2 linked regions of the Caenorhabditis elegans genome follow. The protein of the gene in region 2 interacts with the protein of the main gene of each other region in a pairwise test. Each region holds a gene or a part of one and is shown on either strand. Other genes may lie near its edges.

Region 1 (3,699 bases), on a different chromosome or scaffold from region 2:
GAGAGAGGTAATCAGATATAGAAAATATTAGAAGAGATTGAGAGAAACTAAGAAAGGGCGGCCGAAAATTGGTGGTTAGGTAATGATATACTAGTATAGTAGATAAAAACATTTTTGTACAGTAGAAACTGAAACTGAACTTAATAAATCGTGATAGGGAAGATTTTTCAAACTTTGCCGCTTGATGTTGCTCCCTGCCGGCCATTAAATATTACAAAACTCACGGGAAAGAACCAGTCAAGCCACATCGCTGTCCACTGTTTCTGTAGTGTTTAATTGATTTTTTCTTCGAACAACATAAACAATCAGAAATCACAAATTTAATATTTAGCAGACCCAAGGTGGGTATGCTATTATTCAGCATACAAGTGTGTAGTGTTTCTGTAGTGTTTAATTGATTTTTTTTTCAAAAAAAAAACATAAACAATCACAAATCACAAATATGGAAAATCGAAACTGACTACAAAAAAAAAGGAATCAGAAAATCGTGAAGATGCAGCTTTACATATATATTTATTTTCAATGGCAGAAGAAACTAACCGTAAAATACAGAAAAAATACAAAACACAATAAAAATAATAAAACAAGAAATTCAACTAGGCACTTTGAATCATCTTCTTCTCTTATCTGTAGATGCGCATCTATTTCGACTCCCACTGTGGCTTTCTCTTCTCGGCAAAAGCGGTCATTCCTTCCTGAAAAACATCTTTTAAGGGGAATTTATCAGGTTTTCGAGAAAAATACTAAACTAGGTAGGAAACTGATTATTTCATTTTAAGAGAAGGTGGAATAAAAACTGGAACAATATTTTGATCACTGTATTTATTTGGCAGTTTTTCTACCGTAATAATAAATAAGTTTAAATAATTTATCTACAAAACTAGATTGCAATTTAAAAATTCATTTTGATAATTTACCTTTCTATCCTTGGTGGCAAAAGTGGCATGGAAAAGTCGTCTTTCGAAGTGAAGTCCCTCTTGAAGAGTAAGCTCATAAGCTTTGTTAACGGCCTCCTTTGCCATTTGAACAATCAGTGGAGATTGATCAGCGATTTTCTCTCCAAGTTTCACAGCTTCCCCGACAACCTGATCAGCTGGGAAAATCTTGCTCACAATACCGTGCTCCTTAGCTTCTTGAGCAGTCACGTGGTTTCCAGTAAGGCACACCTCCATGGCAAATGATTTTCCGGCGGCGCGAGCCCAACGCTGAGTACCTCCTGAATCATCGACGTTTAAAAATTTGATTTTAAAATATTGTCAATTACCTGCTCCTGGAATAGTTCCAATGTTAATTTCAGGTTGTCCAAAACGAGCCTTCTCTCCGGCATAGATAATATCACACATCATTGCCAACTCGTTTCCACCTCCCAATGCAAATCCGTTCACTGCAGCAATAACTGGCTTTTTCACATCACTGACAGCGGTCCAGTTGGAGAGGAAGCTTCCAGAAAATGTGGTGGCGAACTCGTTATTGGTCTGAAATCCGATAATTTTTAAAAAATTGGATTATACGCTGACTAACCATCTCCTTGATATCAGCTCCAGCGGCAAAAGCTCTCTCACTTCCAGTAATCACAATTGCTCCGACAGACTTATCAGTATCCAAAACTTCGAGAGCATCAGCCAATTCAGTCATAAGCTGAGCGCACAAAGCATTCAAAGCTTTTGGTCTATTCAGCTTGATAAGAGCAACATTTTGCTTCTCTCCAACTTTCTCGATCTTGATCATTTCAGGAGCTTTGCTTGAAAATGCGGCGACTTGCATTTGGTTGACATTTGCACACAATTTGGCATTGCGAACCAGCATCGACGAGAAGCGCATCATCTTGATTTCTGAAATTTCAGAACTTGAGTTGGAAAATGTTGATAACTAAGAAATGAGAAGAAAATTGGAAGTATTCAAGAAAAAGAAGACAATTGTAAAAGATGCAAAAGTGAACGAAACAGATATGAAAATAGACGCAGACAGTGAGAGATATACGAACGATAGAGCACACAGTGTGAACTGTGATCTATGAACTAATCAACAATAAAAACAAGAAAACACTGCTTTTTAAAGGTTTTTCTTGTTGTTATACAACGTGTCTAAACGTGCCAATTTTTACGTTTTTTCGTCAAGAAGACTCTAATTTGGAACAATTATAATTGTTATTAAATAACACAGACGCAAAATTTAGATTTTTGCCAAAAGAAACCATATCCGGTCTCGACACGACAAATTTGTGTGAAATACAAAAAGATGTGCGCATTTGAAGAGTACTATAATTGCAATTTACATAGCAATTTTTTAGATCCAAATAATTGTTTTTTATTTTCTAAACACATGAAAAATAAAATTCCGAAGATTTAGACCAATTTGGTATGCTGAATAATTAGCAGACCAATTTGGTATGCTAATTATTTATTGGTAAAATTTTACAACAAAAAGGGGAAAGCAGAGACAACTGCGCGAGATAACAGAGAGTGGGTTACTGTACTACTTAAAGGAGCATTCCTTTTTTCACGGCTTCAAAATATTTCGTTTGTGGCGAGAGAGGATACGGTATCTTTGAGTTACTGCATAATAAAAAATCAAATAATTTCGGAGAACAACCCATAAAAATTAAATTAAAACAAAAAGTATAAAAAGTAAGAATTAGAAATCTTATTCACAACTATTAAAACATTTCACATGAATAAATAAATAAATACAAAACTCCGATGAGTATTCTGAGAAACTTTCAAATAAAATTATGTAAATAAATTATAAATTTCGTTCTTTGGTAGTAGATCAACAATCACAATTGTCGTTTGACTAGTCTTTCGAATCTTTTAAGCTTATCAATTGATGACGTCACTGCTTGATCAGACAATCCATCTGCTGCCATTGATACAACTGCATTGAATGCTTCAGATACAGATGCTGCACTTCCAACAGTTGGTAGTGCTCCACCAATCCGAGAAGTTAGACTATTCGATTGTTGAATTGGATCCGAGCCAGATGCACCGATTTTCAATCGATAAGCGTTGAGAACTGCCGAATGCTCTTGTCGTTTAACTCCTTTCATTTCAAGAACTTTTTGCATTTCTGCTGCATCCGACGCTGGTAGAAGTTTAATATATTGTTCAACAAATTCATCGACAGTCTCCAAACTGCACATTACTACCTGAAAAATTATTTATTTTGAATTTCGCGTTTTTGGAAAAATGGAAAACAACAAATTAAAATTTTGGTCTTTCTAAACTTATTTTGACTTTCGAATTTCCGGAAAATTCACAATTTTTTTTTAAATTAAAACCCATGTTTAAAAACCGAATTTTGTTTTTTGATTTTTTGATTTTTCGATCTCTTTAAAAAATCTAAAATGTCTCACTTTCAAAATCATTTCAGCTTTTGTCAGAGCTGCATTCACACTGGTAACGTATGCCGTTGGTGGTTTTGAGTTGATAATACTATCAATTGATGGTACACTGAGCAAAAATGTTTTTAGCGAATGAGTATCAAGTAACAGTTGCTCAGCTCCATGAGTACTAATTGTTCGGCAACGGAATAATGATCCAACAAATTTGTGAGCAAGTTGAGTTGCGAGTTTTAGGCAAAAATGAGCAAAATATTTTCGGCGATCGGAGAGCATATCCCGAATGAGAGGAACTGCTTGTCGAAGATGAGCCCGCATTGATCCAATAAATGGGGATTCATCACCTACACAATCCACTGCAG
Region 2 (5,180 bases):
ATCTTCGAAAAATGCGGGAGAAGAGGCGCAGACTTTTCAACTGATTTCGCATGGTTAAGAGTGCGGACGTCACATTTTCCTGGGGGGAAAAATTCCCGCTTTTTTTGTAGATCAAACCGAAATGAGACAGCCTGACACCACGTGTGGAATAAGATGCAAGGCTCCACTACACTATTGGCTAAGGTCTCTGTGCTATTCGTATTTCCATCCAACAACCATGACTCTCAGGAATGGTGAGTGTAACCACTCTTCTCCTTCCGAGTATTGATTATCGAGAAGAGATCAGCGGTTACACTACATTATTAGTAAGAGTCCTTATTCATATTCCGGAAAAACCATGCCTCCCAATGGTGAGTGTAACCGCACGTCTTGTTTCAAAACTCAATATATGGAAAAAGACCACCGGTTACACTACATTATTGGTTGGAGTCTGATTAATATTGCAATAATCGATGATGGTAGAATTGGAGTAGTGGATGTGGGTAAATTACTGAAACTTACAGATTAGGTCCCTAAAAACTAACAAAAATAACAAAGAAAAGATTGGAAAATTTTGTTAAGTGAGAGAAAAACCAGCTCAAACTTAGCAATAAGGACTAAAGGGACTGCATTTCAGGTTCGCGCGCAAATGATTTCACGCCGGAGGAATTCAAATTTTGAAGAGATATAGAACATCGATTGATTAAGCAGCCGACACTTGCCTGGTGGATTTTTGTGACAAAGTAACGTTAAAAACAACACACAAAACATGGTGCATCGACTACGAACAATGACAGGATAATCGGAAATGTCATTAGAATTTTTCATAATTTCAGAAAATTAAGCTAAACATCCTTTGTATATTCATTTACGCCAATTTTTTGCGTCAATTTAGCATTTTATCAGCTAAAAACTCCCGAAATTTTATATTTTCAGGACAATATAAAAAATCATTTTATTTCAGGCAAAAAGTGAACAAAAAAATGAAAGAGAGTTTGAAAGAGGATCAAAGATCGATATTTTCTCAATCAGAATAGAATTGAAAAAATTTCACCGGAAACGACGAAAAATGGCACAGAGACAACCAACATTTCCAGAACTCCTTAATGATGATAGCTGCGTATTAAGTCGAAAAAGTTCACGCAAAGGTTCTCAAAGCACTTTGGATTGTGTAGATAGCACGCGTGTCCGGCGTCTGGAATCTTCTGAAGCTTCACTTGTGGAAGGTTCTTGAGATTTGCAGCTGCAGTGGGGCCCAGAGACGTGTCGCGTTCGCCTGGAAAGATTTGAAGGTTAACAATGATTTTTTTGTTTGACAGTAAAAAGAAAGAAAAACTCACCCCAAACCACTAAAGTTGGCACAGTATAGGAAGAAGGGCTGACGACTTCGTGGGTGTTTGATGGGGCGACTAGGACCACACATGAGAGCTACAATAGTGAAATTAAATTGAACGAGCAATATTTGGTGTCAAATTGTGTTCAATGTTCTATGTTTGATGTTGTAAATAGTTAATAGGAGTATGATAAAATTATTACTCAAAAACAGGGGTGTGCGGCAAATCTCAAAATTTGCCGAGCTCGGCAAATTCGGGAAATCTCTTTTTTCATTATTTGCCGAGCACGGCAAATTCGGCAAATTTGTCGAGCTCGGCAAATTCGGAAAATTTTGATAATTCTTGATGTTTTTTGGAACACCAAAACTACCGAATTCTTAACACACATCTGGTTTCTGAATAAGTTCCGTGTAGTATGTCTGCATAAGCATAAAAATAACTCAATTTTGTGTCATTTTACTAAATTTTTGGCGAAAAAATCAATAATTTTAGCCAAAATTGTACTGTTAAATTTTTGACGTGTGCGGCAAATTTCGAAATTTGCCGAGCTCGGCAAATTCGGCAAATCTACTTTTTTGAAATTTGCCGTGCTCGGCTAATTCGGCAAATTCGGCAAATTTGCCGCACACCCCTGCTCAAAAACATTAATTTTTTAAGGAAAATCATAAATCGGAAGTCGACATAGACAATTGCTCATCGAGAAGTTATAGTTGTCAAAATTACTGTTAGGTTGGCGGAAAATTCAAATTTTCTGGAAAAATAGAATTTTGCTGGAAATTCAAATGTTCTCCAGAACAATTTTTACTAAAAATCAAAGTTTTATGAGAAAATATTTCTTGGCGGCAATTTCAAATTTTATGAAGAATATAATTTTGGTTGTGGTGCCAGGCTTTTCTATTACGGGTTGATCTACAAAAAATGCGGGATTTTTTTGCCCAAGAAAATGTGAGGTCAGCACGTTCTTAACCATGCGAATCAGCAGAGAACTCTGCGCCTCTTCTCCCGCATTTTTTGTAGATCTACTTAGATCAAACCGAAATGGAGCACTCTGACGCGCGGGAAGCAACATTTTCATAGAATAATTTTAGCTGGATGTTAAAACTTTATGAAAAACTATGGTAGGCAATTTGAATTTGCAGAAAAACATTTTCTGAAATTTTTTAGATATCTTTTTTAAAGATATAACTGATGGAACTTGACATAGACAAATGCTCGAAACCAAAAATCTCAATTTTTGATAAAAACTCACATGTCTCGTAGAAGTCATCAGTGGCAAAACATATTGTGCCGCCATCGAAGCACACACAATCATCACCTGCTTCAGACCCAGCGTTTCGATGAAATCCATCAAAAAATTCGGTTTCTCAGCTTGTGGGATAGCTGCTCCGCGAGTTTGGCCCGAGCCGGGAAGGTCGATGGCTATGGCACGGTAGCCGAGAGCCGCGAATGTTCTCAAATAGTTGAAAACTTGAATTTTAAGCTAGAAATCAAGAAAAACCTCACCTCAACAAATTATTCTCTGTCCACGTAGATGATGAGAAGCTCTGTCCATGTAAAAAGATGACTGTAGCCTTGGAATAGTGTGCTCCAGGTGGACGGGCTTCTCGGACGAATACTGAATGTGTCTGAAACTCGAACTCTAATTTTACAAAATTAACTTAAAGCAAAAGCTAAAATCTCACCCCTAACTCCACCCGGCTCTCATCATACTCCACCAGCTGTGCAAGTTTCCGCGCATTTTCTGGAATTGGGTGCGAAAGGTCGGCTCGTTCCAGTAGAGAACCCCCACTGGTGGTGGCGTGGTGGGATCCTAGGGGTTGGTGGTGGAGAAGAACCATTTTTGTATTGATCGGGGCTGAAAATTTGAAAATTTGGAAAAATTGATAGTTTTGTTAGATTATTGAGATAAAACAAAGCTTATTGAAAGAAAGGATTTAGAATTGTTTAACTTTGGAAGCTTGTATCTCGGTTAGTTTTAATAATATAAAGTAATGAAAAACTACATTGTTATAGAAAAAAAGCTGACCAATATTTTGTCAGTTGACAATTTTTTGATAAAACCAAAGAAATTCGAGATATGAGCCATTAAAGCTTAACGGTAAGTTTTGAGCATGCGTCACATAACTTTAATAGCTTGTATCTTGTTCAATTTTGTACATATCAAAAAATTAACTTAACTACAAAGTCATAGAAAAGGATGTAACCGATGTTTTGTCAGTTGACAGCTTTATAATAACTCATAAAATAACCGAGAGTAAACCTAATGATGATTTTTTGGTCGATGCACCATGTTTTACACCCATTCACGTTGACAATTAAAGGTGGTGTAGCACGTGCTCGCTGGCTGTCTCTTTGCATAATTTCGATGAAAACGCGCCCCATTCAGAATATTGTCGGTGAAATTCACTCGGACGAGCGAAGAAAAGAAATGAGACCGTCTCGTTGTCTGCGTCTCATCTTTTACACGCTATTTTCTTCTCCGAGAGGACTACGCGACCGGGGGGACGAGGAATCCTCCTCTTCCACCGTTTTCAAGGCCATTTCGCTCATTTTTTTCACGTTTTCTCGTCCGCGAGAAAATAGCAATTTTGAGACAGCCAGCGACCACGTGGTGTAGTCGAATTTGAGACTGTGCTTTAAAACATTCTCTATGCTCTTACAAGTCTATATGTAAAAGCGAAGCATCACAAAAATTTCGCTAAAGCGAGTTATGAGCCTTCAAAGTGCCGAAAAAAATCTCTTCGTCCATCCAATTTGAATTTCGCGCGCAAATGAGCGCCCCCTCGTGTGTACTCCTCTCGGACAATCAAATATGGCAATTTTAGGCGATTTTTCGTATTTTTGAAAGATTTTTCATAGTTTTTTCTGTGTTTTAATGGAAATAACAAAGAGTGAAAGTCTATGAATATAATTTGAACCGATTGATTGCTCAATTACACCAAAAAATAGACAAAACTAGCATTTTATTGAATTATCCAGTTATTACTCCATTTTTTGTACTGTATTACGTTAAATATTTGACAAAATACGATTTATTGTCTCTCGAAACATAAATTTCCAATAAAAAACGAGAATAGGCTCATTAAAGTACGAAAAATCACCTAAAATTGCCGAAAAGCAATAAATTAATTATGTGATTGTCCGAGAGGAGTACACACGAGGGGCGCTCATTTGCGCGCGAAATTCAAATTAGATGGACGAAGAGATTTTTTTCGGCACTTTGAAGGCTCATAACTTCCGTTAGCGAAATTTTTGTGATGTTTCGCTTATTCATATCGACTTGTACGAGCATAAAGAAGATTTTTAAGCATAGTCTCAAATTCGACTACACCACCTTTAATATCTCGGCTTATTTTAAAGATATCAAAATATCAAAAAAAAAGTTTAACTACAGAATTATAATAAAAAAATGTAACAAGTAATTTGTTAGTTGACAACTTTTTGATACAACTAAAGACAGCCGAGATATGAGCTGCCGACGTTGAGTCAGTCGATGCATCATGTTTCTCACTTTGGTTTTGGCAGGTCATATCTCGCTTTATTTGAAAGATATCAATAAACCGTAAACTAGAAAATCATAGAAAAATACTTAACAAACATTTTGTTAGTTAACAAATTTTTGATACCACTAAAGATAACCGAGATATGAGCCACCAAAGCCAACAGAGATACTTTCAAAAGTTTAAACAAAAATTGTGTAAAACTAAGTCAAAAAAGTATGAGACTTCAAAAGAATAAAATTGAAGGGGGTATTGTGTCTCGTTTTGCTGACTTTTTCTTCCTCCCCTCCTTCACCCTTTCATATGTATATTGCTTCTTTTTGAATTCCCCCGCCGGCGGTGTCGAAGGCATTTTACGGTCGTTTTA

What was found.
Region 1: the proteins of abhd-14 (region 2) and ech-6 interact in a two-hybrid assay, tested with the Caenorhabditis elegans proteins (one large-scale study listed by BioGRID).

The regions. Positions count from the first base shown.
Region 1 is NC_003281.10:9,751,052-9,754,750, forward strand, and holds ech-6 (putative enoyl-CoA hydratase, mitochondrial), read right to left. Parts: upstream 1,833-3,699; 5' UTR 1,825-1,832; coding exon 1,522-1,824; intron 1,476-1,521; coding exon 1,265-1,475; intron 1,217-1,264; coding exon 918-1,216; intron 696-917; coding exon 642-695; 3' UTR 501-641; downstream 1-500. Other genes in the region: vps-53 (Vacuolar protein sorting-associated protein 53 homolog), read right to left, coding at 2,777-3,145, 3,353-3,699.
Region 2 is NC_003282.8:1,026,866-1,032,045, forward strand, and holds abhd-14 (AB hydrolase-1 domain-containing protein), read right to left. Parts: upstream 3,175-5,180; 5' UTR 3,152-3,174; coding exon 2,996-3,151; intron 2,939-2,995; coding exon 2,817-2,938; intron 2,765-2,816; coding exon 2,563-2,764; intron 1,408-2,562; coding exon 1,320-1,407; intron 1,256-1,319; coding exon 1,083-1,255; 3' UTR 922-1,082; downstream 1-921.